Macaca fascicularis: one gene and its partners. The protein of the gene in region 5 interacts with the protein of the main gene of each other region in a pairwise test. Links are inferred from orthologs where the notes say so. Each region holds a gene or a part of one and is shown on either strand. Other genes may lie near its edges.

The links.
Region 1: the proteins of TRIM27 (region 5) and EIF4E interact in binary tests that used the Homo sapiens proteins (3 or more experiments, as listed by UniProt). The link is inferred for Macaca fascicularis from reciprocal best matches to the Homo sapiens genes TRIM27 and EIF4E.
Region 2: the proteins of TRIM27 (region 5) and TBC1D22B interact in binary tests that used the Homo sapiens proteins (3 or more experiments, as listed by UniProt). The link is inferred for Macaca fascicularis from reciprocal best matches to the Homo sapiens genes TRIM27 and TBC1D22B.
Region 3: the proteins of TRIM27 (region 5) and PUS7L interact in binary tests that used the Homo sapiens proteins (3 or more experiments, as listed by UniProt). The two-hybrid records come from large-scale screens. The link is inferred for Macaca fascicularis from reciprocal best matches to the Homo sapiens genes TRIM27 and PUS7L.
Region 4: the proteins of TRIM27 (region 5) and ZC2HC1C interact in binary tests that used the Homo sapiens proteins (3 or more experiments, as listed by UniProt). The two-hybrid records come from large-scale screens. The link is inferred for Macaca fascicularis from reciprocal best matches to the Homo sapiens genes TRIM27 and ZC2HC1C.
Region 6: the proteins of TRIM27 (region 5) and JOSD1 interact in binary tests that used the Homo sapiens proteins (3 or more experiments, as listed by UniProt). The two-hybrid records come from large-scale screens. The link is inferred for Macaca fascicularis from reciprocal best matches to the Homo sapiens genes TRIM27 and JOSD1.
Region 7: the proteins of TRIM27 (region 5) and ZBTB16 interact in binary tests that used the Homo sapiens proteins (3 or more experiments, as listed by UniProt). The two-hybrid records come from large-scale screens. The link is inferred for Macaca fascicularis from reciprocal best matches to the Homo sapiens genes TRIM27 and ZBTB16.

The regions. Positions count from the first base shown.
Region 1 is NC_088379.1:104,468,820-104,472,642, forward strand, and holds part of EIF4E (eukaryotic translation initiation factor 4E), read right to left. Parts: intron 3,722-3,823; coding exon 3,608-3,721; intron 1,584-3,607; coding exon 1,444-1,583; intron 1-1,443. UniProt on the Homo sapiens protein: Acts in the cytoplasm to initiate and regulate protein synthesis and is required in the nucleus for export of a subset of mRNAs from the nucleus to the cytoplasm which promotes processes such as RNA capping, processing and splicing.
Region 2 is NC_088378.1:134,375,533-134,379,355, forward strand, and holds part of TBC1D22B (TBC1 domain family member 22B), read right to left. Parts: intron 2,855-3,823; coding exon 2,547-2,854; intron 332-2,546; coding exon 152-331; intron 1-151. UniProt on the Homo sapiens protein: May act as a GTPase-activating protein for Rab family protein(s).
Region 3 is NC_088385.1:50,365,101-50,368,923, forward strand, and holds part of PUS7L (pseudouridylate synthase PUS7L), read right to left. Parts: intron 2,829-3,823; 5' UTR 2,813-2,828; coding exon 1,903-2,812; intron 1-1,902. UniProt on the Homo sapiens protein: Pseudouridine synthase that catalyzes pseudouridylation of mRNAs.
Region 4 is NC_088381.1:143,025,597-143,029,167, reverse strand, and holds the end of ZC2HC1C (zinc finger C2HC domain-containing protein 1C), read right to left. Parts: intron 1,641-3,571; coding exon 1,377-1,640; 3' UTR 750-1,376; downstream 1-749.
Region 5 is NC_088378.1:144,252,732-144,257,093, forward strand, and holds the start of TRIM27 (zinc finger protein RFP), read left to right. Parts: upstream 1-1,282; 5' UTR 1,283-1,633; coding exon 1,634-2,053; intron 2,054-3,286; coding exon 3,287-3,382; intron 3,383-4,362. UniProt on the Homo sapiens protein: E3 ubiquitin-protein ligase that mediates ubiquitination of various substrates and thereby plays a role in diffent processes including proliferation, innate immunity, apoptosis, immune response or autophagy.
Region 6 is NC_088384.1:12,949,073-12,953,382, reverse strand, and holds the start of JOSD1 (josephin-1), read right to left. Parts: upstream 2,961-4,310; 5' UTR 2,933-2,960; intron 2,908-2,932; exon of another isoform or gene 2,767-2,907; intron 2,582-2,766; 5' UTR 1,958-2,581; coding exon 1,773-1,957; intron 1-1,772.
Region 7 is NC_088388.1:112,988,096-112,992,644, reverse strand, and holds the start of ZBTB16 (zinc finger and BTB domain-containing protein 16), read right to left. Parts: upstream 3,106-4,549; 5' UTR 2,240-3,105; exon of another isoform or gene 1,453-2,239; 5' UTR 1,358-1,452; exon of another isoform or gene 1-1,357. UniProt on the Homo sapiens protein: Acts as a transcriptional repressor. Transcriptional repression may be mediated through recruitment of histone deacetylases to target promoters. May play a role in myeloid maturation and in the development and/or maintenance of other differentiated tissues.

The DNA of each region.
Region 1 (3,823 bases), on a different chromosome or scaffold from region 5:
TCTCCTGCCTCAGCCTCCCGAGTAGCTGGGACTACAGGCACCCGCCACCATGCCCAGCTAATGTTTTTTTTTTTGTATTTTCAGTAGAGACGGGGTTTCACCGTATTAGCCAGGATGGTCTCGATCTCCCGATCTCGTGATCTGCCTGCCTTGGCCTCCCAAAGTGCTGGGATTACAGGTATGAGCCACCGCGCCCAGCGTCAAATATTACTAATATAATTGAGGTAAAAAGAAATCCTAGTTAGAAATGCCAGCTGGTTTAGCATGGTGGCTCATGCCTGTAATCTCAGCACTTTGAAAGGCTGAGGTGGTTTGATCAAGTCCAGGAGTTCACAACCAGTCTCGGCAACATGGCAAAACCTCTTCTCTACAAAAAATACAAGAGAATAGCCAGGTGTGGTTGTACACACCTGAGTTCCAGCTAATTGGGTGGCTGAGGTGGGAGGATCACCTGAGCCCAGGAGGTTGAGGCTGCAGTGAGCCGTGACTGCACCACTGCACTCTTGCCTAAATAACACAGTGAGACCCTGCTTCAAAAAAAAAAAAAAAAAAAAAAGCCATTTTTGCAAAGAATAAAATTTACAAAAAAAGGTTTAATAAAACCCTACATGTGGGTTTTAAACATCGAACAAAAGCCAAAGTATGTTAAATTTTAATGAAAATTATATGTAGTAAACACACATGCTTTAAATACACATACACTATTTGCCAATAATCACTGAATTATTTATTATGAGCATACATTAGCTCTTTTCAAAGTAGTACTTTTTTTCAAACAGCACTTTCAAAGTAGGAAATAATACATTCTCATTTGTGAATGAATAAAAAATGCTACATGCCAAAGCAGAGTGTTCTAGTGGTTATATACTTCACTGCTAAGAAAAAGCAATTTTACAGAAATAAAAAACATGAACAAGGTCAGGCGCAATGGCCCATGCCTGTAATGCCAGCACTTTGGGAGGCCGAGGTGGATGGATCACTTGAGGCCAAGAGTTAAAAGACCAGCCTGGCCAACATGGCAAAACCTGGTCTCTACTAAAAATACAAAAATTACCTGAGCATGGTGGCACACGCCTGTATTCTCAGCTACTTGGGAGGCTGAGACATAAGAATCACTTGAACCCGGGAGTCAGCGGTTGCAGTGAGCCTAGATCATGCCACTGTACTACACCCTGGACAACAGAGTGAGACTGTGTCTCTAAATATATAAATAGCTGTGAAAAAACCCTCCAAAACATCTATATCGATATCTATATAGATATAGATATATATGAACAAGACGTTGTGCACCAATTGAGCCGTTCAAAATTATAAAAGTGTTCCGAAAACAATACAAGGAAAACAGGATCTACAAACAAAGTATTTCTAAAGCTACAAATAAAGTAACTTCTGGTTTTAGCCATCCTAATATTGTAAAATAAGTATGCAAAGAGCAAAACTTACCCTATATGTGTAACAGCTTCTCTGTTTTCACATTCAGTAGTCCATATTGCTATCTTATCACCTTTAGCTCTAACATTAACAACAGCGCCACATACATCATCACTGTAGTCATCAAAAGATTCTCCAATAAGGCACAGCAGCTTAAAAGAAAATCCCAAATTACGTTTAATAGATTATAAACAAGCTTATTACACTGCAAATTTCTCTTCTATATTCGCGTAGATAACTAAAGACAATTTTTAAATCTAATTAATTTTTTAAATGTGTAAATTTTATTTGCATATATAGATCTATCCTGACTCTTAAATACCCATTCATTTATTTACTATCAAATCATTAACAGTTGTCTTCACCTTTTTCAGCAAATTTGGCAGTTAATATCGTGGCAGACATAAAAGCTGATTTTATTAATATTCATTTGCTCTGCTGCTGCTTATATTTACGAGCAAACAAATATTAATAGAATAACAAAAATAGCTATTCATGGTTAATTTCTTCTTGTTCTTATTTTTTCTGAATATTTGTTAATGGTTTGGTTTTTTGTTGTTGTTTTTTGAGACAGCGTCTTGCTCTGTTACCCTGGCTGGAGTGCAATGGGACCATCACAGCTCACTGCAGCCTCAACCTCCTGGGCTCAAATGATCCTCCCACCTCAGCCTCTTGAGTAGCTGGGCATACACACAGGGACATGTCACCATACCCAGTAAATTTTTGTATTTTTTGTAGAGACAGGGTTTTGCCACGTTGCCCAAGTTGGTCTTGAACTCCTGAGTTTAAGTGAAATGCCTGCCTTGGCCTCCTGAAGTGTTGAGATTTCAGGTGTGAGCCCAGCCCTAACGGGTTTCTTAATTGTGGTAAAACACAAATAACATAAAATTTACCATTTTAACCACTTTTAAGTGTACAGTTCAGTGGCGTTAATACATTCAACATTGTTGTACAACCATCACTACTACCATCCATCTCCAGAACATTTTTTTTAACTGAAAAATGGAAATATACTGACTTTTTAATGTGAAATTCCAAAATGATATTTGCTGATGATCTTCACCCTCAAAAACAGAATTTTCTTCTTAAAAAGTCATTCATTCATTAGCTGTGTGTGCTGGCATGCACCTGTAGTCACAGCTACTTGAGAGGCTAAGGCAGGATGATTGCTTGAACCCAGGAGGCTACAGTGAGCTATGATGGCCCCACTACGCTCTAGCCTGGGCAACAGAGCAAGACCCTGTCTCTAAAAAAACAATAGTCACTTATTCAAATATTTAAAGTGATTAACTCAACAAGTGCTAACTATAAACCAGGCACGGTTTCAAGTGCTAGGGACACAAAAGAGACTACAAACCCCGCTCCTATAAGCTTGGGGTTTGGAACCTCTGTTGACAGAAAATGCCTATTATCTCATATTTAATTTGTCTTGTAAAGCCAAAAGTTCCAGTTAATATCACAACATGTAGGTTGAATGGTAGTACACAACAATTTTATTGTTTGCTTCACTGATCTAAAAAGTTTAGTGGGACAGGCACAGTGACTCACACCTGTAATTCCAGCACTCTGGGAGGCTGAATGGGAGGATCACTTGAGGCCAGGAGTTTGAGACCAACCTAGGCAACACGGCAAGATCCCACCTCTAGGAAAAAATTTAGAAAATTAGCTAGCCATTGTGGCATGCACCTGTAGTTCCAGCTACTTAAGAGGCTGAAGTGGGAGCATCACTTGAACCCAGAGGGTGAGGCTGAAGTGAGTCATATAAATAAATATCCGCACTCCAGCCTGGGCAACAGAGCAAGACCCTTACTCTAAAAACATAAATATTTAAAAGTTTAGTATACATATAGCAATGCTGTAAGAGGGTTGCAAAAACTTCAATCATATAAAATGTAAGGTTCTATAATTTCGAAGTTAATGAAATGACCACAGTGAGCTTATTGTGATGAGAGTCACACTGCCAATCACTTAAAATATCTGACTTATAATGTGGTAGGATGTTTCACTGTACTATAAACAGGAGTCACATGACAGAATGAAAACAATTACTGACCCTGATTTTCTAGTGTTGGGCATCCTTCTCTTAAATTAAGTAACAAATGTAAAACATAACATATCTTAAGTTTCAGTATTCCCAAACTACCTCTAAAACTGCTTTATACTTTTAAAACCTTACTGTCTCTAGCCAAAAGCGATCAAGGTCACTTCGTCTCTGCTGTTTGTTCAATGTAATTAGCCATCGTCCTCCCCGTTTGTTTTTCTCATCTTCCCACATAGGCTCAATACCATCCTACAGGGTTAGAAGACAACAGTATTACACAATATTGTTACCTTGACTTTGAGAGATAATCATTAAAAACAGTAAGCAACAACACTGTCAACTTCTTACTTT
Region 2 (3,823 bases), about 9.9 Mb from region 5:
TGACTTAATACCTGCATGTCACTGCAATGGGCACCAGGTCAGGAGAAGCTAGAAAAGTAAAAGAAGGAAGAATAAAGAGCAGTAGCTTCCAGGTCTCTGAGAATTCCAGTCACCAAAAGCTCCTACCTTGCCTGGGCTCACAGGGACTCACCTAAGTCAGTGTTGTGGCTGGAGAGAAGCTGACGGAATTTTTCTAGGCGGGTTTTCTCCCGGACAGTCATTGGGGGGGCCCCAGAGGCGTTCTGATCCGAGATCCGGGCAACGAGGGGGATGATGGGCCGGAGAGGGAGTGACTGCTGTTTGTGGAGTGGGTTCCTCAGGCATGTATCACCTGAGATCATTTGAAAAAGAAACAGAATGGGCTGTGTGAGGAGCATGGATTCTGAGAAGCCTTAAACCTAATCGTTCAGCATCGTGTCTCCTCCCCAAGGCCGTGGCTGCCTGTGTGCACTGCCTGAGGTGCCCAGCTGAGGGGCAGCGAGGGACCAGAACCCAGCCACGCTCCATTCACTGCCCAGAGAAAGGGCTGCATTTATATCAAACACACCAAGGCACCTTAGGTGCTAACAGAGACTCCAGAAGCTGCAGCAACTTTTGAGAACTTTTTTGGTGACTCTAAAGGAAAATCAAATGTTTTCTTTCTGCCCCAACTTGGAACTTTTCTTGATGCCAAACAGTGAGTTTAGTTTAGTCTAAGGCAGAGTTTTCCTTCCCATTCCACATCCCAGAGCACATAAGGAATGATGACAAGGCAGATGACACCACAAAGCACAAGGCTGCAATAAATGGAGGTGGTTGCTCTCCACAAGCCCCGGAACCCCCGGCTGCTCCATGGACTAAGAGGATCAATATCTCCACACATCCTGTACCTGGTTCTTGGCCCATCAGTGTGCCCTGGTGAGAAGCTCTGGCCTAAGGCAATCCTGCCTTTGGTGGCTGCGGTTCCTTTGTGCACCTACATTTCCCACCAAAATGAACCAGTTCTTAATTCTGCCAGGATATGACTGAAATAACAAACAAAGACTCAAACTGAACTCTGTCTTGTTCTCGACATTTCTAGACTGGATGGTGGGTAGGGTGAATAAGCACTACAGGACTCACATATATTGAGTGTTTCCTATGTATAAGGCATATAGGTCACTTTTACATATGACCTCTCATTTGATCCTTAGAACACATGGTAGGAATGTATAACTATTTTACAGACAAGAAACTGCAGCTCAGGGAGATTAAATTATTTGCAAGTGAGAGGTGAAAAACCACCTTAGGTAAGCCTGACTCTGAAACTCTTGTATTATCACAAGCAAAACTCAGTTTTTAATTCTAGTTGTGCTTACATGACTGCCTCATACTCTTTACACGGCTGGGCCTTAAAAAGTAGTAGTCATAACAAAAATTAAACATTGAATATCAACCAACCAGTACTACTAGAAGGCTTACAAAAACAACTTCCACGAGGCAGTTGGCTGGGACGCCTAGTGTAACGAGAGGACTAGAAAATGCAGACACACTGCAGAGCTGAGACAGCTGTAAATCTCCGCTATTACCTATTTACAGACAGATGCCCGCAGGAGAAAACCTCCTCAGGGAGAATGCTCTGGGCTGGGCTGGGGAGGTCCTGGCTGCACAGGGCAGCTCATTATGGATCACAGTAGGGGCCTTCCTCACACTGGGAATCTCTGGAGACCCTCCATCACCGTGTGTACACACCTTCCACAGCCTGCAGCTGTGGCCACCTGGTCAGTAACACTGAATGCCTATCTGTGCATGGCACTGAAGGTTCACGCTAGAGCCCAAATCAGTGATGGAAAACAACTGTGGAATGATTGCAAAGACCTTACAGCCATGAAAAAAGTTCCCTCAGAACATGAGCCAGGGCTCTGATGTTCTTCTACTTCCTTTTCATCCTTTACCCGCTCACCGCTTTAACTCTCACTGCAATGACAAAGCTTCCCTCTCCAGTTCCCAACACACTTTCATAAAACCCATTAGGGCAACATTAAACACAACCATGAATATTTAAAGGAATACACTGAGAGTCCCCAAAGGTCTAATAAAACCACCATCGCATCAACCGTTACTCTGGCCAGTTTCCCGAAAAGAAACAGAGAGGCCTCTACTTCCATCCCACCCAACCTGATGGGACCTGCCTGATGGTCAGGAAGCCGAGACCTGGGGCCTTTAGGCACATTTGCTCCCTCCCTCAGGAACAGGAAGAGACAATTTTATGCTAGTAGCTGTTCCCCAGGGCTGAGAAAGTCAAACCACAGTGGCCAAACAATTGTGAAATTCAGCCACTAACAGCTTTAAATTAGTTAATATTTCTAAACCTGACCAGGACTAAAGCAATGTGAAGCAATCAAACCAGAAGTTTTGGACTCCACCACAGGGAAAGTAAGAAGAGAAGAGGAGAATGGCAAACAACACCTGGGTGTTAGAAAGTGAAGCCCCAGGTCACCAGACTGGGCAGCCACCACAAATCGCTTTTATTTAAAATGCACGCTGCTGAAAAGCCTGAGGCTATGAAGGGAGCAGGAAGGACTTACTAGAGTTTCTGGACAGCTGGGCATCACTGCTGGACTTTATGACCTTGTAGTTGGCAGGAACATCCGATGTCGTTGACTGGGACCGTTCTGGTTTTACCCTCAGCTTGCTGTGGTTTTCTAGAACTTGGGCTGCAGTTGCCAAAGCAACTTTTGAGTTCAGAGTTTGGAAAGAAGGTGAGGAAAAGTCCTCTTCCTCATCATCGCCAATGTCCCAAGCATCACTGGTATTCCGTGCAAACTCATGAAAACTGGAGGCCTTCTTATTCTTCAGAGGAACTGTGCTGACTTTTGATCGTTCTTTAATGAAACTTCAAGAAAGGAGACACAATTACCAAGGAATGGCCTGACACATCTGACCACCTGCATTTGCTTATTATTATAATGTTAATAAATTACAAACTACTCCATACATAATCATTAGCTTCTTCAAACAAAAACTGCCCATATCCATTCTTCATCTAGATACATCCAGACCAGCCTGAGATCGCAGAGACAGATGTAGCAGAGACAGCAATGGTCACCAAACATCCCATGTGCTCTTGTATACTTCCTGGCCCCCATGCACTTAGGTGAGGCCATATGACCAGTTCTGGCCAATGGACTAAGAAGAGAAATAAGGCGATTACTTCCAGGCAAAGTAGAGAATAGGTGTCAGTTCTGTATAACCTCTTTTTTTTTTTTTTTTTGAGACAGAGTTTCTGTCACCCAGGCTGGAGTGCAGTGGTATGATCATGGCTCACTGCAGTCTTGACCTCCTGGGCTCAAGTGATCCTCCCACCACAGCCTCTTGAGTAGCTGGGACTACAGGTGTGCACCACCATGCCTGGCTAATTTTATTATTATTTTCTGTAGACACAAGGTTTCACTATGTTGCCCAGGCTGGTCTTGAACTCCTGGGCTCAAGTGATCCTCCCACCTCGGCCTCCCAAATTGTTGGGATTACAGGTGTGAGCAACCATGCCTGACCTATAGCTTCTCTTCTATCATGATGACTGGCAAGATGGTAGAGACTCCCTCAGCCTAGGTAACTGAGTGACTATGTGAAGCAGCAGTAACTATGTCGAGGAGCCTGCCCTCTGCCCTTACCCACCCCCATTTTAGACATGTAGCATGAGCAGGAAATAGACCTTTACTATGCTAATCCACTGAGATTTGAGAGTTGATCTGCTATCACTTAGAGTAGCACATAAACTACTGGCAGAAAACGAGATAATTTTAGGTAGTCCACATATGTAGCATTAAACCTTAAGTCTCAAAATAAAAAAGTTGTTCCACTT
Region 3 (3,823 bases), on a different chromosome or scaffold from region 5:
CAGAATGAGCAATCCAAGAACATGACAAGAAGTGTAATACTTTTGTGACGTAGCCTCAAAAGTCATCTCACATCCACATTCTCCCTCAAATTCTTTCCAAGTTCCAAGGCTGAATGCTTCCAAAGCAAATATCATGTGTGCTTTATTGACCATTATATCCCATCCACTGGCAGACAAATGGGTAAACAAAATGTGGCATACACCTACCATGGGGTATTATTCAGCCTTAAAAGGGAAGGAAATTCTAACACGTGCTACAACAAGGATAAATGTCAAAAACACACTAAGTGAAATAAGCCCATTACAAAAAGACAAATACTGTATGATTCCACTTATATGAGATACCTAGAACTGTCTAATCCGTACAGACAGAATGAAAAATGGTAGTTCCCATTTTTCAGAGCTGGAGAGGAGGAGGGATTGTTTAATAAATATGGAGTTTTAGTTTGGGATGGTGAAAAAATTCTGGAGATGAATGGAGGTGATAGATGTACAACAATGTGAATGTCCTCAATGCCACTGATACTTAAAAATGATTAAGATGGTACACTTTATGTTATGTATATTTTAACATAATTTAAAATAAAAAATAAAAGGTTTTTTGAACCATCATTCCTCCTTTTAACATATGCCTCCAACGATTCACAACTTTAGAAAAACGAATTTAAACTAATATATAAAGTTCTATAATTTTTTTACTCATTAACCCAAATTAATATTGTTAGAATTTCAAGTAGTATAAGATAAATAAAAATTCCTAGAGCTGCTTAAATCACTCACCAGCAATTCCTCTTTCTACATGTAAAGCTAGTGTTGTTTTTCCTTCAAAATGGATATATCTGTTAACACTTACTATATGCCTAATATTAAGTAACTATTACATAGTAAACAATTTCATTATTTCATTTAATCCTTAGAATATCATTGTGTGTCAGGCTTTCCTATTACCCCATTTTTCAAGTACAACCAAAAGTTATGAATTATTAAGTAACTTGCCCGTGGTATTATTCTTCCCATTTTTACATTTATGAAATCAAATCTTAAAGACATTAAAAATTTCATAAGTCTTTTTGTGAACTAAAAGTCATAATATCAAATCAAACCCACATAGTTCCAAGGTTCAAACTCTAATTTATTAAATATGATCATCTGAAACAGTTCCCATCCTTCAAGTAGAATTGAGGCCAGTTAAACCTAGTCAGCTGGACTTTTATAGTGAGAGTTCATCAGTTCCAGCCACCCTGGGAATTAAACACAGACCCTAAAACAGTGATTCTCAAAATGTAGCAGACCAGGAAAAAAAGAGTCTGGAAATTTGTGAAAGCCCCAGAATCAGAAACTGAGAATGGGGCTGTGAAATCTGTTTTAACAAGACCTTTTGATGATTATATGCATGCTAAAGTTTCAGAACATCTTGTCTAGATGACCAGCAGGACCAAGTTTTCAGGTTCCCTACCCAAGGTAGGGAAATATAATTTGTTTTGGATTACAAAGTATCTCTTCACTTTCCCAAGCACAGTAAATATATTCTTATCTCTAAAAACTTAATTTTAATTGAGATGACTTCCAAAATATGAAATCAAGATTTACCTTCAATAAAACTTATTAAACACAAACCAACTGATTCAACTTGACATTTGTGAATAGGCTAACATAAATGCCTAGGTTATCAGTAAGGCTAATTTTTAAATTCAGTGTAATTTGAAAGGTTTTATCATCTTCCAGTAACAGAATAAATAAGAATTCCTAGAGTTGCTTAAATTGCTTATCAGCAGTTCCCCTCCCTAAAGGTAAAGCATGTATTCTTTCCAATCTCTCTAGCCAAGTCTATTCAATTCATTTTCACAATTTTAAATTTAACTAAGTTTATCCAAGAAAATGGATGATTATTTATTAAATTACCTGTATAAATAACATTTCCTTCTTGGCATTCAGGAAGAGGCCTTTTCCCACGCCTGTGTGCTTTTTCCCGAAATCTTACTGTTATCACCACATTCAGATTACCAGTACTGCAATTCATTTCAGAAAAAGATTTGGTTTCCACAAGGTTTCCAAACTTTTTGTTGACAAAATGGTGGACAGCTTTTCTGTGGTCTTTGTTTGCATCAGGTTTAAAGGTAAATTTGGAATTTTCTTTCTTCGCATCCAAATACTTAAAAAAGTTAAATGCTTCCTCTTCAGATACCAAATGACAAAGTTCTTTATACTCAAGATTTGGTTTTACAACAATTTCACTGTTTTTTCCTACAGTTATTAAAAATGGAAATTTCTGCCTAATGGCACTATGTAAACTAGCCCTCTGGTTTTTGTCAAGGATTCTGCCTATTGAGAATTCAAGAGGTAGTCCAATTAGCTCTGTTTCAGAAAGCCACTTCTCTTTTATATCACAGGCAAAATTATTCAGTAACTCATGAGTTTTTTCATCTAAAAAGGAGCTTAAAACATCAGCTTTTTCTTCACATTTGGAAGTTCCATCACTGATAGTATCTTCCTTTTCTGAACCAGACGGATGATTTTGGTCACCATCAGTGTACTTAACCAAAGTATTAACTTCTTGGTTTCTTCCATCTTCAAAGGACAGATTTTGAAGATCTAGTTTTGTTTTTTTGGGAAAATTATTTGGCTCAGGTTGTATTTCACTAATCTTGAAAATAGGCTCATTGATGGTCTTATTAACTAATTGTCCCTGTTCATCAATTTCAATAACAATAAAGTCACTTGGTGAGCTTTTTATAGTGCCATGAAATCCAATATGATCATTAAAGAAACACAAAGAACTAAACCTGATTCTATAATCTGTATCTTCTTCCATTCTTCTATAATAATGCCTAAAAAACAAAACAAAGAGGTGGTTAGTTAACAGAAAGAGAAATTATGGATGACCAGATAGGAATAGGTTTGCAGGATTTAGTTAATTCTGTCTCTCTTTTAATCCTGAGTCTTCTTAAATGGCATCGTTAATTTATAACTATATGTACATCCTGTGTACTTTGACTCTCCTATACCAAGCTGAAATAATAGGCAAACTATTTCTGGTATAGCTAAAGATTTGTTAACTTGTATCTTCACTCACTCCAGATTTGTACCTATTATCCAGGATTAAAATGAGTCAATTTTAAGTTTATCTTAAAAATATCATTTGTAGGCCCACAAGAAGAGGTGAGAACACAGAACTATAAAACCAAGATGTGTCCAAATTCCATTCCTGGAGTCTAAAATCTCCAGCTAATTCCAGAGAATATGTGGCTAAGTTTTCTTACATTATTAGTGGTTAGTGACAGGAGAGGTGACAAGAAGACAATAGGAAAACTGATGGGTAAATGAAGTTATAAATACAAATTTGTGATTTGATTATATTTCAAGGTAGGATTAAGTCAGTCCTGGGCCTTCTCTAATGCCCCCATTAGGACAAATAGAAGCTTTCAAGGTTGACCCAGAGGAAAGTTCTAACTATATCATTGGCATCAGACTGAAGAAACCTTACAGAGCTTCCTGGGAACACTATGCAAGAGAATAGTACTCTGATCTCTCACCTTTCACACAAACCCATGGCTACCATACGATATGGAGCTGCAGGAAAGATAAACTGCCCAGGGGCCCCCCTACTACTGAGTTCTGTGTTTACCCACATTCTCCAAGTAATTTATCATCATCTGGACCATCATCTCATATCTATAATGTATTCTACTATTCTGAACCAATTTAGCAAATCACATCCCTTCTCAATCCTTTCAATCATGCCATATAGAAATCACAACAAATTCTCCATATCCTAATTTCCTAAGGAAAATATAAGATATATTTATTTTCCTTAATTACTTAA
Region 4 (3,571 bases), on a different chromosome or scaffold from region 5:
AGCTGCAGAGGAAATGGAGCAAGAGTGAGTGGCCATTTGTTATTTAGTAAAATAGGATTTTGTTGTCTGTCTAGCCCTGTTGCCTAGCTCAAATTGAGCAGTTTTTCTCCAGTATTTTAAACTAACAATTTGAGTAATACAGAACAGTAATCCTAGGATTTCTATCTGTTGTGCTAACTTCACTCCTATTTGAACTGATAATACTCTCGCAGACATTATCAGTTCTCTCATTTCACTAGTCTAGGACTCATTCACCTTGTTTAATTTTTAATCTCCAGACCTCATTAATTGAGGTCTTAACTTGTGCTAGGCAATATTCTACACAGAGAAAACTAAAAAGATTTGATCCCTTTCCCTTCAGAGTTTACTCTCTCAAATAGAAGTTGACTATGCTATAATTGCCAAGGGCATGTGACACTGTGCAATGTCCCAGCTTTGTTTTGTTTTGAGACGGGCTCTTGCTTTGTTGTCGAGGCTGCTGTTGAACTCCTGGCCTCAAGCAATCCTCCCACTTCAGCCTCCCAAAGTGCTGGGATTATAGGAATGAGCCACCATGCCCAGCCTATCTCAGCTTACTTTGATGGTAGATTTTGCTGCCTCTAAACAGTCATTTAGCCAAACTGATTTGAAAGTAGAGTGCTATTAACAGCTAAAATGGAGGTTTCTTTCTTAACATATGAAACCCATTAGAAAAGAACAAGCAGAAGTATAATGTGTTTCCCCCCAACACCCATCCCTACCCTATAAAGTACATAAAGATCTTTCCTTTATTACACAGTACACCATAGGGAAGGTTTAGGAGACATTGGTGCCTTAACCTTACATACTTGTATTGGTTTTTGGCCAGGATCATGCACCAGGGAGACCAAGGATAGATTTCCATTAATAATGCCTTACAGCAAAATTATATTATCTTTCATAAGAGTTACCATCTGGGTGATCATGCCCCTCTGACTCCAACACATCCTAATAACTCCAGCTTCTACAAAAGCAAGAGTTAACAGAACTCTGAACATACATGCAGTGACAGGAAGGCACAACCAGATGCAGGCACTTCACTAGCACAAACCACAAGTCAGGCATGCAAGAAGAGAGCTTTAATGGAGCCTGCTCACGACTCTTCAGTGTCTTCACCCATCAATTCTGAGGGCAATAACATAAAGCTTACCAGCCCAAGGTTGTAATTTAGTGGGAAGCTGGGGCTTCCTTCTGCCTCCTGCTGCTTAGCAGTGGCTCTCTCCTCACAGACTTTAACTCTGCAGGCAGATCTGGGAGCTGTTTGATTTCTCTCTGCTTTGCATCAAATTCTACTCCCATTTACTGCTGAAGAGAAGCAGAGCTTTCTGACCTATCCAAAAGTTTCCATTGTTGTCTGCTCAACTATAATGCTTCCTTGGAGGTGGAGGACGGTTCTTGATGGTCTTACACTTGGGAATGTGTTGCTCAGCCACCTTGGGAGCAAAGTGGTGGCTACAGTGAGGACACTGAATGTAGTCTGGGTTTTCTGCAGGCAGGATGGGAGGCAAGTGTGAACGGTTTTCACCTTTGGCAGTTACCTGCTGGACCTCTCGAGCCTGGCGGAGCGTATGGATAAAAGATTCGTGCTTCTGTCTCCAGTTGTTCTTCCGAGGAGGTTCAGCCTGTAATGTAAAAGGGAGACTGATCATTCAACTTGGCACCTATCTCCTTCCTGAGTCTCTTTTAGAATAACAGTAAGAAAATGAAAAGGGTACTAATCAGCAAGGTCAAAGAACAGGAAAGGAGCAACAGTGGTAACTGACTTGCCAGCGTTGAGGCAAACCAAGGGCCTGCAAAGGAGGTACTGCTGAGAGGCAAGCCACTTTCCCAACAGAATCCGGAGAGGTTCAGTGCTTGGAAGTACCAGATAGTGGAAAGTAAGGAGGTACAGGACTGAAAACAAGCAGGACCCCACGGCTCCTCCCACCTTACGCATCCAAGTGTCCAACACCCAGGCACACTCACAGAAGAGCAAGGATTTATGCTCTGGAGAAATTGAACCAGACAGACTTCTGACTCAGGAAATCCAGACGGTGGAACCGGGTTAATCTTGGGGCTGAAAATGGGGATTAAGTACAAGTGTACATACCAAATTATGGAACTGTCAGCCTCCTTCCCCCGCTCAGCCCCCAGAGTACCAAGCAGATTGACATCCTCATAGGAAAAAGAGGGGTTCTCTGGATACATGGAGCAGTCCAGAGAAAAGGCTTCAGATACTCACCTTGGGAGACACTAATTAAAAGACTCACTATTTGGTAACTTTAATATGAAGATCCTTAGTCAACAAGCCCCACTTAAGCTTAAATATGAAAGGACAGCCAGGAATCATCAGATATTTACTAAAAGCTCTAACAAGAAAAAGAGCCCAGAAAGTCCACAAACAAAAACCTAGGAAGCAGCAACAAGGCAGGAGGCAGAAGAAAACTTTTTTTAACATGAGACCATATCAACAAAATGAGTATTAGAAGAGATTATGTCCATAAAACAAGAGGAGTATACTATGAAAAAAGACAACCAGAGAACCAGAAAGAACTATTATAAATCAAAACTTTGATAGCTAAAAATAAAAATTATTTAAATAGAGGACGGGCGCGGTGACTCATGCCTATAATCCCAGCACTGTGGGAGGCCGACGTGGGCAGATCACGAGGTCAGGAGATCAAGACCATCCTGGCTAACACAGTTAAATTCCGTCTCTACTAAAAATACACAAAATTAGCCAGGCGTGGTGGCACACGCCTGTAGTTCCAGCTACTCAGGAGGCTGAGGCAGAAGAATTGCTTGAACCCAGAAGGCAGAGGTTGCAGTGAGCCAAGATCGTGCCACTGCACTCCAGCCAGGGCAACAGAGCAAGACCCTGTCTCAAAAAATAAATAAATAAATAAATAGAAATGTTGTAAACTAATGTCAAGAAAATTTCTCAGAATGGGAAAAAAGATGAAGATGGAAAGTAAAAAGAAAAGATTAGAAAATTAGAAAGTTAATCCTGGAAGTCCAACATGTGACCAGTAAGAGTTCCAGAAGGAGCAGAGAAAGCACAAGGAGAAATTATTATTATTATTATTATTATTATTATTATTATTATTGAGATGGAGTCTCGCTCTGTTGCCCAGGCTGGAGTGCAGTGGCACAATCTTGGCTCACTGCAACCTCAGCCTCCTGGATTCAAGCGATTCTCCTATCTCAGCCTCCCAAGTAGCTGGGACTACAGGCGTGCGCCACCACACCCGGCTAATTTTTGTATTTTTAGCAGAGACGGGGTTTCACCATATTGGTCAGGCTGGTCTCGAACACCTGACCTCAGGTGATCCACCTGCCTCAGCCTCCCAAAGTGCTGGGATTATAATCGTGAGCCACAGCACCTGGAGAGGAGAAAATTATTAAGGAAATAATACAATTAACATTCCTAGAATTAAAGGTCACACATTTTGAGACTGAAATGGCTTACCAAGTATCCAGCACAATTATTGTAAAGTTTCAGAATTTCAAAATAAATAGAGAATCCTGTAGCCTTTAAAAAAAAAAAAGGTTTCTTGTAATGAAACAGGAATCA
Region 5 (4,362 bases):
AAACGTACTTTCACTTTGAAAAAATAAAATAAAAATCAAGTAAGGTCTGGAAGCAGAAGCCCGTATTGCTCAGATAGCAGGACAATATTGAGAAAATCTCAAAGAAAAGCAGGAGACATCAAGCAAGGGATAAGAAAGCAACTTAAAAATGCTGGAGGTCTACTGCATGATAAGACAACGAGTATTGTGGGACTCCAAGACCCTGGGTCACTGTAGGATTCTTAGTCTCTCTATACTTCAGAAAGGAGCAAGCAATTTTTAGTTGCTCCTCAATACAACAACCCTATGTAATGGGCATTTTGTTACTATTTTAATGGATAAACAACCTTATGGTTCAAAAAGTAAAAGATGTAACGAAATCTACTTCTTTACGGCGGTACAGTTATCATCCCCATTTCACACGAGGAGAAACTGAGGTAAATGAATGGTAAACCAACTTGCTTGGGCACAAGTGAGAGGTAGCAGAGCTGGGCTTGTTATTGCCACACAGAAATGTTACCATCTGATAATTAAACCTTTCTTTTTCTAAACAAAACTGCAAGTGCCTACAAATGGGTCTGTTTAATAAAAGGCCTCACCTATCAGGTGGGCTCAGACGGTGACCCTCCTCATCCTCCAGCCTCTTGGGGAAGCCAGATGTCTGCGCTCCCCAGCACCTATATAAAGCCAGCTTTCTTTCTTCTTTTCTTTTTTTTTCAAGACGGAGTCTCGCTCTGTCGCCCAGGCTGGAGTGCAGTGGCGATCTCGGGTCACTGCAACCTCCGCCTCCAGGGTTCAAGCGATTCTGCTGCCTCAGCCTCCTAAGTAGCTGGGACTACAGGCGCCTGCCACCACGCCCGGCTAATTTTTCTATTTTTAGTAGAGATGCGGTTTTACCATGTTGGCCAGGATAGTCTCGATCTCCTGACCTCGTGATCCACCCGCCTCGGCCTCCCAAATGCTGGGATTACAGGCGTGAGCCACTGCGCGCGGCCAAAGCCATCTTTAGCAGGGGCTGAGACCTGGGCACCAAGAAGAAACCCAACTAAACACTAGGGGCCTGGGCCCGGCAGTCGCGGAAGATTGTAGGCCCGGAGCGTGTGGCACCATCTGCTTTTGTGACCAGTCCCCTAGGCTAGAGCTTCGGCGCGACCCGCCCAAGGGAGAGTGGCGGAGCCTCCCAGGCCTTTCTAGAGAAAGCAGCCCGGGCCCCGAGGCCACGAAATCTTGTCACACACTATAAGCGCGGGCCAAGCCCCGCCCCCCGAGCCGCCTCTTCCGCTCGCGCCGGGGTGGGGTCTACGCGGCCGCCGGGATCCGCTCGGACGCGGCCACGTTGTCTTGCGCGCTTTGCGCGCCTGGCCCTGGGATCCTGACCCTTGGCTACCCGTTCCTGCCCCAGTAACGTGGCCGCGAGTCTCTGTGAGCCGGCTGTATTCCCGCACTCGCTCAGGGGGCACAGGCGCAGGGATCGGCCCGGCCACTCTGAGCCTTCGGTGCGCGGGCGCGTCTGGGATACGGGCCCGGGAGGCACCGCCCTCCGTCCGCCCGGTGCCTCCCAGGAACAGCGAACGGGAGAGAGCGCCGGAGAGTTGGGCTCCGTGCAGAGCTCGGCGCCGGGGCCCATGCCCGTGAGCCCCCGCAGGCCCGCGCCATGGCCTCCGGGAGCGTGGCCGAGTGCCTGCAGCAGGAGACCACCTGCCCCGTGTGCCTGCAGTACTTCGCAGAGCCCATGATGCTCGACTGCGGCCATAACATCTGTTGCGCGTGCCTCGCCCGCTGCTGGGGCACGGCAGAGACTAACGTGTCGTGCCCGCAGTGCCGGGAGACCTTCCCGCAGAGGCACATGCGGCCCAACCGGCACCTGGCCAACGTGACCCAGCTGGTGAAGCAGCTGCGCACCGAGCGGCCGTCGGGGCCCGGCGGCGAGATGGGCGTGTGCGAGAAACACCGCGAGCCCCTGAAGCTCTACTGCGAGGAGGACCAGATGCCCATCTGCGTGGTGTGCGACCGCTCCCGCGAGCACCGCGGCCACAGCGTGCTGCCGCTCGAGGAGGCAGTGGAGGGCTTCAAGGTGAGGGCGCGGATCCGGGAGGGCGGGAACGCGAGTCGGACAAAGGGAGGAGAGAGCCAAAGGGGCTTCCCTTTTTCCGCCTAGAAAATGGCTGAGCCGGACGTGTGGTTCACAGCCGTCATTTCCTCTCTGTCCGCTCCAGAGCCTCAGCACTCAGATTTGGAGGAAAACCTGTAGCTGGCGAGGGAGCCAGAAGTCTCCCCACCCCCACTCTCCTTTCTCTGTGTGCCCCCATGTTTCCTGTCTCACGGACACATTGTACACGGAGACATGCTTTTGACAGTATAAAAGAAGTGCATAAAATCGCTTGCACATCGACGAGCTGTAGAGACACATGTACTCTCGTCGGCTGTCAGACAAAACGCAGTCGGACATTAACTGACCGATGCCCATTCCTTGGTCTATAAGCATTTCCCCAGCACTTTCCTGCAATACGTCCTGGTCTAGAAACTCACAGAAAAGAACAGGCTCTTCACTGCTTAAGTCATTTAACCACTCTGAGACTCAGGAGATAACAGTTATGAGGAAGATTATGGAATCATGTGATGCACAGAGCCCTCTGTGAACTGGCACAGCTAAACAGAAACGTGGAAACAAAATATTACATATAAAACAGTTGTAAGGTGACCTTCAAGGAGTCCATGATACTGTGTATTTTCTGTATGTTGAGGGCTTCAGGAATTCATACACAATTATGTCCGTGTTTAAATATGAATACATTCATGTGTAATTAATCACTTAACATTTATGGACCTTTCAGCTATATTCTTTCACTTACTCTGGTGAGAACTCTTGAGTAGGTTGGGAAGATGGTGTTTGCCCATTTCACACATGAGGGAAATAAGAAGTCACTTTCACAGTATGCTTGTGTGGAAGAGCTACAATACAACATAACTCTAAGCCTCCTACTCCAGTCACAGTTCCGCTAAGTCATGCGATATCCTACCAGGGACAGGTAGATGATTCATTGTTTAAGATAGACACAAATAATCCTGACGAGGTAGCTGAGTGGTTGAAGCGACAGGCTGCTAAGATAGACACAAATTGCCAAATGAGTGGCTTGTTGGCCCCTGCGCCCTGAGTCTTTCTCTTGTGGGTGGCAGTGTGGCCTGAGAACAAGTGCCAACTGGATACTTGGCATCAGGTGTGTGGACTCCATGTGTGATTAGAAGTACCATGCTGATGCTAAGGTCTACCTAGTTTTGAACTGCCCATCTGTTTTGCTTTTCTCAGGAGCAAATCCAGAACCAGCTTGACCATTTAAAAAGAGTGAAAGATTTAAAGAAGAGACGTCGGGCCCAAGGGGAACAGGCACGAGCTGAACTCTTGGTAAGGGTTGTTGGAATTCACAGTCGCTTCTGCTGGTGCTCCCCTCTTCTGTAGAGCTGATGTTACTTCCCTTAGACTTGTCCAGCATGTCACCCAGAACCTGTAGGTAGAGGGGGATCAACTGCACATGGCAGTGGGAACTCACCCAGAGAACTAAGAGATTCCCTTTCTTTTGGGGAAAGCGTGGAGGAGCCAAGTTTGGAACCCTTGGAAATCAGACCTGTCAGTATAGTTTAACCTGCTAACTGCGTAGACCAAGGTTGATCCTTGGCAAAGCTGAGATGGGTAAAATTATTGGATACAGTTAGCTTGCGTTGTTACCATTCTTCAGACAAGTGCTAATAGTGGATTTGTGTAAGTCCCACTGTTGCTTCTCTTTGTGTTATTCTCCTTTCTTGACAATGCCTTAATTCTGAATTTTTTGCTCTGCTCTCTTCCTCCAATCTCTCAAGGCCTCGACAAGTGGCTGATGTATTAATTTATGATAGGGGTATATGGGAATTTTTTCTTTTTATTTCCGACAGGGTCTCACTCTGTCACCCAGGCTGGAGTGCAATGGCAAGGTTTCGACTCACTGCAACCTCTGCCTCACATTTCAAGTGATTCTCCCACCTCAGCCTCCCAGGTAGCTGAGGCTACAGGCATGTACCAACACACCCAGCTGATTTTTGTATTTTTAGTAGAGATGGGGTTTCACCATATTGACCAGGCAGGTCTCGAATTCCTGACCTCAAGTGATCCACCTGCCTTGGCCTTCCAAAGTGCTGGGATTACAGGTGTGAGCCACTGCACCTAACTGGGAATTTTGTTTTGAAAAGAAAAAAAAAAACAAGGCAGGGCATGGGGGGGGGGTGGCGGCTCACACCTGTAATCCCAGCACTCTGGGAGGCTGAGGTGGGCGGATCACCTGAGGTCAGGAGTTGAAGACCAGCCTGGCCATGGTGAAACCCCGTCTGTACTAAAAATACAAAAAATTAGCC
Region 6 (4,310 bases), on a different chromosome or scaffold from region 5:
TACATATCACAAAGTACTAAGCACATTCAGGTATTTCACCCTGAGTCCTTTCTTCTCCCTAGTTTTAGATCAGGAAATAATTTGCAAATCTGATTAGGAGTAGGAGAAATACTAACGGCTGGCCAAAAGGAAGCAGTCCAATGTACTGGGTTCTCCTTTCAGTGACATGACCTGATGATCTGAGACAAATTATCTTACCTCCCAGTGCCCCAGGTCCTGAAGAGTCAATTCTACTTGCTGCCAGATAATGGCCATGATGCAAATAACATATTTACCCTGGTAAGGCATTACTCTGGTTACTACTGGCATTGGAAAATAATTACTCTCATTATAGTTTTGTCTGCATCTGGGGATTAACATTCTTCTAAGAGTAAGCCTCTGGCTCTTTCAGGGCAAATGGTCCATACCTGTGTTTTACAAATCACCCCAAATAGGTTGCTACCAGCTGTAATTCTGGTCCCTATGTGGCAATAATTTCATTTCCAAGCTAAGAGAGTAAGAAAAAGGTCTTCTGGAATTGTCAATATGTACTGCTTGAAGAACGCTTGAGCTTCTCTTCAGTGAGGACTGTGTGGGCCTAACCCTTTCTAGTTGGGGTCATCAGGCAAGATCACCATCTGAGTTGCTATGGACTGCAGATATGCTGTTGTGTCCATCAAGACACCACAGAACTGACTCTCAAAACCTTTAAAGTAATTCTAGAAAATCAAAGCAAAGAGAAAAAAGCTGAGTTTTTTTTTTTTTTTTTTTTTTTCTGAGACCTGTCACCCAGGCTGGAGTACAGTGGCACAATCTCGGCTAACTGCAACCTCCACTTCCCGAGTTCACGCGATTCTCCTGCCTCAGCCTCCCGACTAGCTGGGACAAGCGTGCACCACCACACCCGACTTAATTTTTGTATTTTTAGTAGAGACGAGGTTTCACCATGTTGGCCAGGCTGGTCTCAAACTCCTGAACTCAGGTGATCCGCCCTCCTCGGCCTCCTAAAGTGCTGGGATTATACCGTGCTTGGCCAAAAGCTGAACCTCTACTAACCCGTGGGGTGGCATTTGTTCTAAATGGGTAAGAAAGGCCATCTAGAATAAAGGAGAAAGAGGCGATCTGGAGTCAACTTCAAATTATAACTTTGCTATTTAGAAGCTATTTGGACATATTACCTGACCTTTCTATCAGTAAAATACAGGCAGTGAAATGACTGTTAGGAGGGCTACACAAAGCAATGTACGAACAGCGCCACTGCCAGCACATGGCTCACAGAAAAGCTGAGCATTGTGTATACCTCTTGCTTGTGGTAGTCACCACATTGCACCTTTGATGACAGGCGACTGAACGTGTACCTATCGGGTCCCACTTCTAGACTGTAAACTCCTCGGCAGCAGAACTTTAGAGGCATTTAGCATAGTGGTCAACAGCATAGATGTAAGAATTCAACCCCAGCTCCAAGTCTTGTTACCTTGAGCAAAGTATGGAACTAAATGTGTCTTCATCAGTAAAATGGAAATAACACCACGTATTAACACGTATTCCATGGGATTGCTGAGCAGATCACTCGAGAAAACACAGCCGAGAATATGAGCACTTTCCTAGCCCACAGTGAGTGCCCGATACATAGTAGTGATTATCTTTTCCTGTCTTGTGTCCCTTATACCTGCTAATGGCATCTAGCTAATACCTATAGATTTAAAGGTTTATGAAACTTGAGACATTATCCCACCCACAGAAATCCAAAAATATCAGTAAGTATCAAGATGCCAAGGAGAAGGGTCCCCTACCTCTGGAAAATCTCTTGCAGCGTATCCCGGGTGAAGGCATTGCTGTCCTGGAAGACGTTATTGAGGGCGTGGAGGGCACAAAGCTCCCTGCGCTGTTTCTCATGGTAGATTTGTGGGGGTGCTGCCTGGGGCAGCTCCAATGATTCAGATTTGGCCTTGTCTCCTTTCCATGGCACACAACTCATGTTTTTTGTTTTAGGTTCCAGAGATGGCTATAAACACCCTACTCTTCCCTCCAGAAGAAGAATGTAACCTTCTCAGTCTTTTCCGGGTTCCTGAGGTTCACCTTATTCTCTGGTGTCCATGATTTATGCTTTGTCACTGGGAGAAAAGACTGGAATCAAAAGGAAAAAAAAACCCACCTCTTTTCTCAAGAGAAAAATAACTTTTGGATTACTTTCATTTTGCTACCACTGTCAAATTGCAGAATTTAAAAAAAAAAAACCCATAAAATGTAAGACCTTGTTTCCGTTTCCCCACCCTTCCCTCCCACCCCCCTCAAAACTCCCCACGATTTTCTTGCTGTTTCCCTCTGCAAATGCCAGGCCTCAAAGCAGGAGGACCGAACAGCATCGGTCACATCGCTCCTTTTCTTCCATTTCTTTCGAACCACGACGCCACTGACTCGGGAGACAAGGCCTGGGTGGCGGATAACGCGCACGAGTCGAGCAGCTAGCGCGGGCCGGCAGGCGTGGGACCGCGAGCCGCGCGGGGGCCTCGGGGGCAGCCCTCCATCCCCTTGGGTACGGTGGGGCCCGCAGGGCGCGGCTCCCTCGGAAGGCGCGGACTCTCGCCCTCTGGCCGCGGCCCTGCGGAGGAAGAGACAACTCCGGTCAGCGGCGAGCGGGCGCGGGAAGTGCGCGGCGGGGCCGGCCCCTGCCCGAGGGAAGGTTCCTTCCGCGCGGCGACGGGTTGGCCCGCAAGGGGTGGGGCCGGACAGTCAGCCTCGAGCTCCTGAGCCCGGACCCACCCGGTTCGCCGCCCCTACACCAACCTCCCCGCCCGTCACGTGAGCGCAGGCCCAGACGCCCTCCCGCCGCGCCCCTGGCTGCAGACCCCAACGCCGTCGGGACCGCTCAACGCCAGCCGTCCCCTCACCGACAACGGCCGCCACCTGGAGTGCGGGCCGCCAACTGGGCCGCGCGGGCGGGCGCGCGCACCTGAGCCCGACGTCACCGGCCCCCGCCCGACGCGTGCTCCGGAAACGCCCTCTGGCGCCGTCCTCGCTCCTCCCAGCCGTGGCGTCACGCCTAGCGTAGGTGTGACGTCATCGGCACCGGCCTGGGAGACGGGGACGCCGGGCGTGTACGGGCCAAGTTGAACGGTTGGGGTGTGGCGGAGGCAGTGGGTGTGGGGCTGCGGGCTGCGGAGCTCGGCGGCGGCCGGCAGGATTGGGGTCCAGCCGCTCGGCTCTGCGCTGTCCCTGGCGGGGCGGGGTGGGGCGGCCTGAGGGAGTCCTGCAGGCCAGCGGCTGCCGTCCGCGGCTTTCCGCACCCCTCCCCTCTCTGGGCCAGGCTTCTCGGCCGAGCGTTCTCGCTCCTTCTGCGTTGACTGTTTTCTGTGTGGCTAACGCGCGGCTCACCAGGGGGGATTTTGGAGCACCTGATTCGGTCGGGCGCAAATTGCCTTGGTTAGTGGGCCCGACCGTGCCGCACTGTCCAGGGAGCGCCAAGGGTAGGTGCCTCGCTTTGAGTCACATTTCAAGTGGAAAGGAGACTCCTGTTGCAGTTCCGTGGTGTCGCATTTCAGTTCACTACACACAAGCCACTGCCCTCTTGCCTGGGGGCTCCCCGCTCTTCTCACGGTGGCTTTCCTCTCTGCAGAGACCTCTGCGCGAAGTATACCTAAGCGCATTGTGTGCGTCGTCGGGAAACGGCGAACTACTCGCAGTCCCACGTGGATTTCATTTTTTTCCCTTTACCTACTCTTAGGGTGCGTGGTAGGCATCAGTATCCACCTTAGCTGCCCTCCTTTGGGGTTTTTCGTAAAACTGGAAAAACGAGAAGAAATTGCACTTTAAATTTAGTTTGTTTTTGTTTTTGTTTTTGTTTGCGACGGAGTTTCATTCTTGTAGCCCAGGCTGAATTGCAATAGGGCGATCTCAGCTTACTGCAACCTCCACCTCCTGGGCTCAAGCGATTCTCCTGTCTCGGCCACCCGGGTAGCTGGGATTGCAGGCCCCTGCCACTTACCCAAGGCTAATTTTTGTAGTTTAGTAGAGATGGGGTTTCACCATGTTGGCCAGGGTGGTCTCGAACTCTTGAGATCCAACCGTCTCGGCCTCCCAAAGTGCTGGGATTACAAGTGTGAGCCACCGCGCCTGGCCTAAATTTTTATTTATTTTTGAGACAGGGTCTTGCTCTGTTTCCCAGGCTGGAGTGCAGTGGCGCGATCACGACTCACCTGCAGCCTCGACCTCCTAGGCTCAAGCGAGCTTCATGCCTCAGCCTCCTGAGTAGCTGGGGCTATAGGCATACACCACCACACCTGGCTCATTTTTATTTTTATTTTTGTAGAGATGGGGTTTCACCACGTTGC
Region 7 (4,549 bases), on a different chromosome or scaffold from region 5:
GCCCCTTCCTTGTCAGCTTCACGTCAACCCCCTGGATGTCAAACCTCATCTTTAAAACAAAGTTTTTCTAAACTCTGCCTCACTGCAGGAGCCCCAGAAGCAGAGTCAAACTCATTGGAGGCCAGGAGCCTGTAGTCATGGTCCACAGACATCTATGGACACTGGGCTCTCCTCCACAAAGGCTATCCTCTCACCATCAGCCTTGGCCTCTGGCCTTCTACTATTCTCAGGGCTGCAAAGCACTGGCAGCCCCAAGCCCTTCCCTATCCCTAGGTACTAACAGGCACATACATACAACCCACACACAAACTTAGGTCATTTCTACCCATGGAAGCCTCAAAGTTATTGTATGTATAATCTAAAATCTGCACTGTGTGTATGTACACCAGCCAGAGACAGAAAGAGTGTGTGGGGCAGGGTGTAGTGTCTCACGCCTCTAATCCCAGCACTTTGGGAGGCCCAGGCAGGCGGATCACCTGGGGTCGGGAGTTCGAGACCAGCCTGACCAACGTGGAGAAGCCCCGTCTCTACAAAACATACAAAATTAGCCAGGCGCGGTGGCACCCGCCTGTAATCCCAGCTACTAGCGAGGCTGAGGCAGGAGAATCACTTGAACCCGGGAGGCGGAGGTTGCGGTGAGCCGAGATTGTGCCATTGCGCTCCAGCCTGGGCAACAACAGCAAAACTCCGTCTCAGAAAAAAAAAAAAGCGTGTGTGTGTGTCTTTACATACACACACACACACACTTATATAAGGGGCCGTACCTACCGTCCTGCCCACAACTGGCCGGTGGACAGGAGGATCTAAAAAACGAAGAAGGATGGATCATTAAGGTATGGAGAGAGACCACAGTAAATATGCTCCCCTACAGCCAGGAGCGCTTATGCTGGGCTGGGTGTGTGAACTCCACGTGTGTCCCACAGGCTCCAAGGAGTCTGCAAGTCCTGTGACCAGGGGCAGCAAGGGATGCCGGACATGGCTCAGAGGCGCTGGAAGTGATATTGGCACCAGCATCTGTGGTGTGAGTTACAACCAGTACGAAGGGAAGACAGGGCTGGGAAACAAAGGCCTCTCCCAGAGCCTGTTCGGGATCAATAAGAGGGCTCCTAGACTCCAAACCCCGCTTAACGAGTGTTAGAAAGACCGCGCAGGCCCAGGGCCCTCCCCGTGTCTGCCTTGCAGCGACCAATATTGCAGTGAATGCACTGAGAGCAAGGAACAGCAAGGTCTCTCCCTCACTCTTCGAACACTGCTTGCTTGCCTCCACCCCCAAAAGAAGCTCTATCAGTTCAGGAGCCACCAAGCTCACGCAGAAAGGATTCACAGGACGGCTGGTCAAGACACTTTTGTTGCCTACCCCGGGGTGGGGACGGAGGCCGTCAAGGGTGGGATGAACATTCAGCAGAGCCTGGCCACCGCGTGCTTTCCCGCAGACATCGGGGCTTCTGAGAACTAGGAGGGAACAGCCAAAAGAATGGAAGCTTGGCGCCCCAAAACAAGCCCTTTGGGTCCTGAGGGAAATCGGGGCGCCCACGGGCAGCCGTCTTCCCCACCCGCCGCTCGGCGCCCGCGATTCGGCCGGCGCTGGCTGCAGCGTCCAGCCGGGCGGCGCGGGGAAGAACCGGCGAGAACCCGCCTGAGCTCCGGGGATCGACCGTGCTCTCACACGCCTCCAGTTCCCAGCGACCCCCCACCGAGACTTGGAGACGACTTCAGCAAACTTGGGGAAGCAACTTTTCCCGAGGAGCTAGACGCCTGAAAGATGAAGAGCTGGGCTAGGGACGAGGGAAAGCGAAAGAGACTGGGAAAAAAGGCGACAGTCCGGGCGGGCTGGACTCCGCGGGGAGAGCAGCAGGGAGGCGGACCCGCCCCGCGGCGAAGGGGAAGCACAAAAGCCCCGCAAACGAGTTGTAGGAGGAAAGGCGAGAAGGGGTCTGCCCGCCCTCCCTCTCCGACCCAGGGCCGTGACCCCCGGGAAGCGACCGGCTGGGTCCCCGGCCTCTGGCCAGCGGCGCCAGCGGCCGGCGCGCCCGTCCGAAGCACCGTGCGAGCGTCTCGCGGAGGCGGCGAGCGAGTCGGTGCGGAGCGCTCCGTGCGTCCCAGTGGGTCCGTGGGCCGGCGGGACCCTGCGCATTTCAAGCGCGTGCGGGCGTGTGCGAGGCGCTGTGCGAGCTAGCGGCGGGCGCGCCAGGGTGGGAAAGGCATCCCGAACGCATCAGGTGCAGAGACCCGCACCCACCGAGAGCGGCCGGGAGCGCACGGCGAGCTCCGGTGTCACCGCCGGTCCCGTCGAGAGCCGAGGAGGGCCCGGAGCGCTGGAGACCCTCTGGAGCTTCCCTCCCTCCCCTGCAAAAGGGGGGGATCAAGTCCAATCAATAAAAAGCCCACCACGTTTTTTCAAACAGAAACAAAACGTAAGCAGTCCCAGTCCTGTTCCCCTCCGCCCCCAGATCTACTCGTCAGCTCCTCCGATTCTAGCTTCCCAGCCGGCCGGCGAATAGACACACAAATAAATAAACCACAACCCTATCTCGCGCCCGCGCACCGGTCCGCATACATAAGAGCACCCACGGGCTCTGTTCCTCCGCTGGCCCCTGGCGGTACAAAGCCTCCGGATCCCCGACCCTCTGCTCACGCCCTCAGCCCCCGCAGACCGCTACGCCCCCCACCTCTCACCCCGACCGTGCCCTGGAGAGGAAGGGCTGGGGAGGCAGCTGTGCCCAGGCTGACAGCCGGGGCTCCCCCTTCTAGCCGACCCCCAACCGGTTGCGGCGACGGCTGCAGCGGCAGGAAGGGAACACGCCAAATAAAAAAGGCACAAGCCCAGCGGCCGAGTGGCCGAAGCGAGCGCGCGCCCCCCAGACCTCTCCAGCCCCGGGGAGCCCCGGCGCGCGGCGCTCGCTCGGCGGTGCGCCTCTTCCCGGCCCCTCACTCACCGCAGCCGAGCCGGGCACTGTGGGGTGGGTGTGCGTGCCTGTCGGGGGGTGTGTGCCTGTGTCGGGGAGGGGTGTTGCTGGGGAACTGTTGCTCTCCGTATCAAGGCGGCAGCGACAGCATCGCCCGGCAGTTCGCAGTACCCGCTCTCATCGCCCTCAACTCCTCTCTGCTGCGAGGTTAGCAAATCACCACCGGCTGCTGCGCCTCCGCCGCGTCCCACGTCAACGCCGAGCCCCCTCCCCTGCAAGGCCCCGGCGCCTCTCCATCTTTAGTGCTGGCGGCCGAGCCCGGCTCCCTGCCCACAGCTGCCCCCCTTCCCTCCCCCCTCCCGCGCCGTCCTCGGGCTCAGCCCGCCCACCACCCCGCACTGGCCGAGCCCGCGCGCGCTCCCCGCCCCACCTCTCCTTTCCCCTCCCCTCCCTTCCCCTCCCTTCCCCGCGCTCCGCGCTCCGGGCTTCGCCTGACATCTAGCTGCTGCTGGGGCGCTGGCGGCCGCCGCTCACCGGCCGAGCGGAGAGGAAGGAAGGAGCTAGAAGACAGGCGTGCAGGGGACGCGGAATCCTTAATAGGGGAACTGAGGGTGAAGGGCGCGCAGGAGCCCCCACCTCCTCCCAAGACTTTAATTTCCATTGGATACGAGTTTTGTCCCCCCTCCCCCGCACCCCGGTGCTCAAGCACGCAGTTTTGTCCCCTCTTCCAATGTTTGCCCCAATTCAGTGTGTGTCATCTCGCCTTTAACTTTTTTCTCATGGCTCTGGGCTGCATTCCCAGTAGCCCCTGACATCTGTTTCAAAAGGCCGCTTTCCTAGTCCAAACCCGGGCCTCTCATCCTTCTGGCTACTGCGCGCCTCCCGGCTTGAGCATCCGGATTTCAAGAAGTCTCCCGAGGCAGAGTTCGAGGGTCCTGGTGAACCAGGTGCCAGAAGGTCCGCGAGATCTGTTGTCGAAGCGAGAGGTCCCTTTTTAGCTGTCGCGATTGCTGGAGGCCAAGGTCGAGTCCTGGGAGAAACTTTTCTCTCTCTCAGACTTGGACAGCCTCTCGGCTCTGCCCGCACCCGACCCCCGACCCCCAGCAATCTGGGTGCAAACAGTTTCCGACAACTGCGCCCAGCTCAGTGCACAGTCTTCAGGGGGCAGGGGAAAACTTGGAAAAGCTCTGGGCCCCTCAGAAGTGCGTCCTCCTTCAGCGGGCCGTCCTGCTTTAGAGGGTAGAGAGGCCAAAGAAAATGTACCCTTCCTCTGACTGCAGAAAGCTGCCCTCTCCTCTTTTCCCTGGAGCTCAGCGAAGGTAGGGTGCCAGAGGTGGGAAGCGCTCTTTGGGCACCGGTTGTGGATTCTGACCAAAACCCAGGAGGTTGGGGTGGGAAGTGGGGGTGACCGAGAGCGCCATCCAGGGGTCTCAGGCCAGTCAGCCCTCGAGGTCACGTGGTTTTAGCAATGCGGGGCTTAGGTCACCGAGGCCTGGGTCTGCATGTTCTGTCCGTGACTCGCGGGTGGGCCAAAGGTTTTCCGCAGGACTCACCTAGAATCACATCTCCATGCGTCCCTCTGGCACTGCCCCAGACGGAGAGTCAAGTCACTCTCCCGTGAACTGTAGGGCCATGGAAGGTGG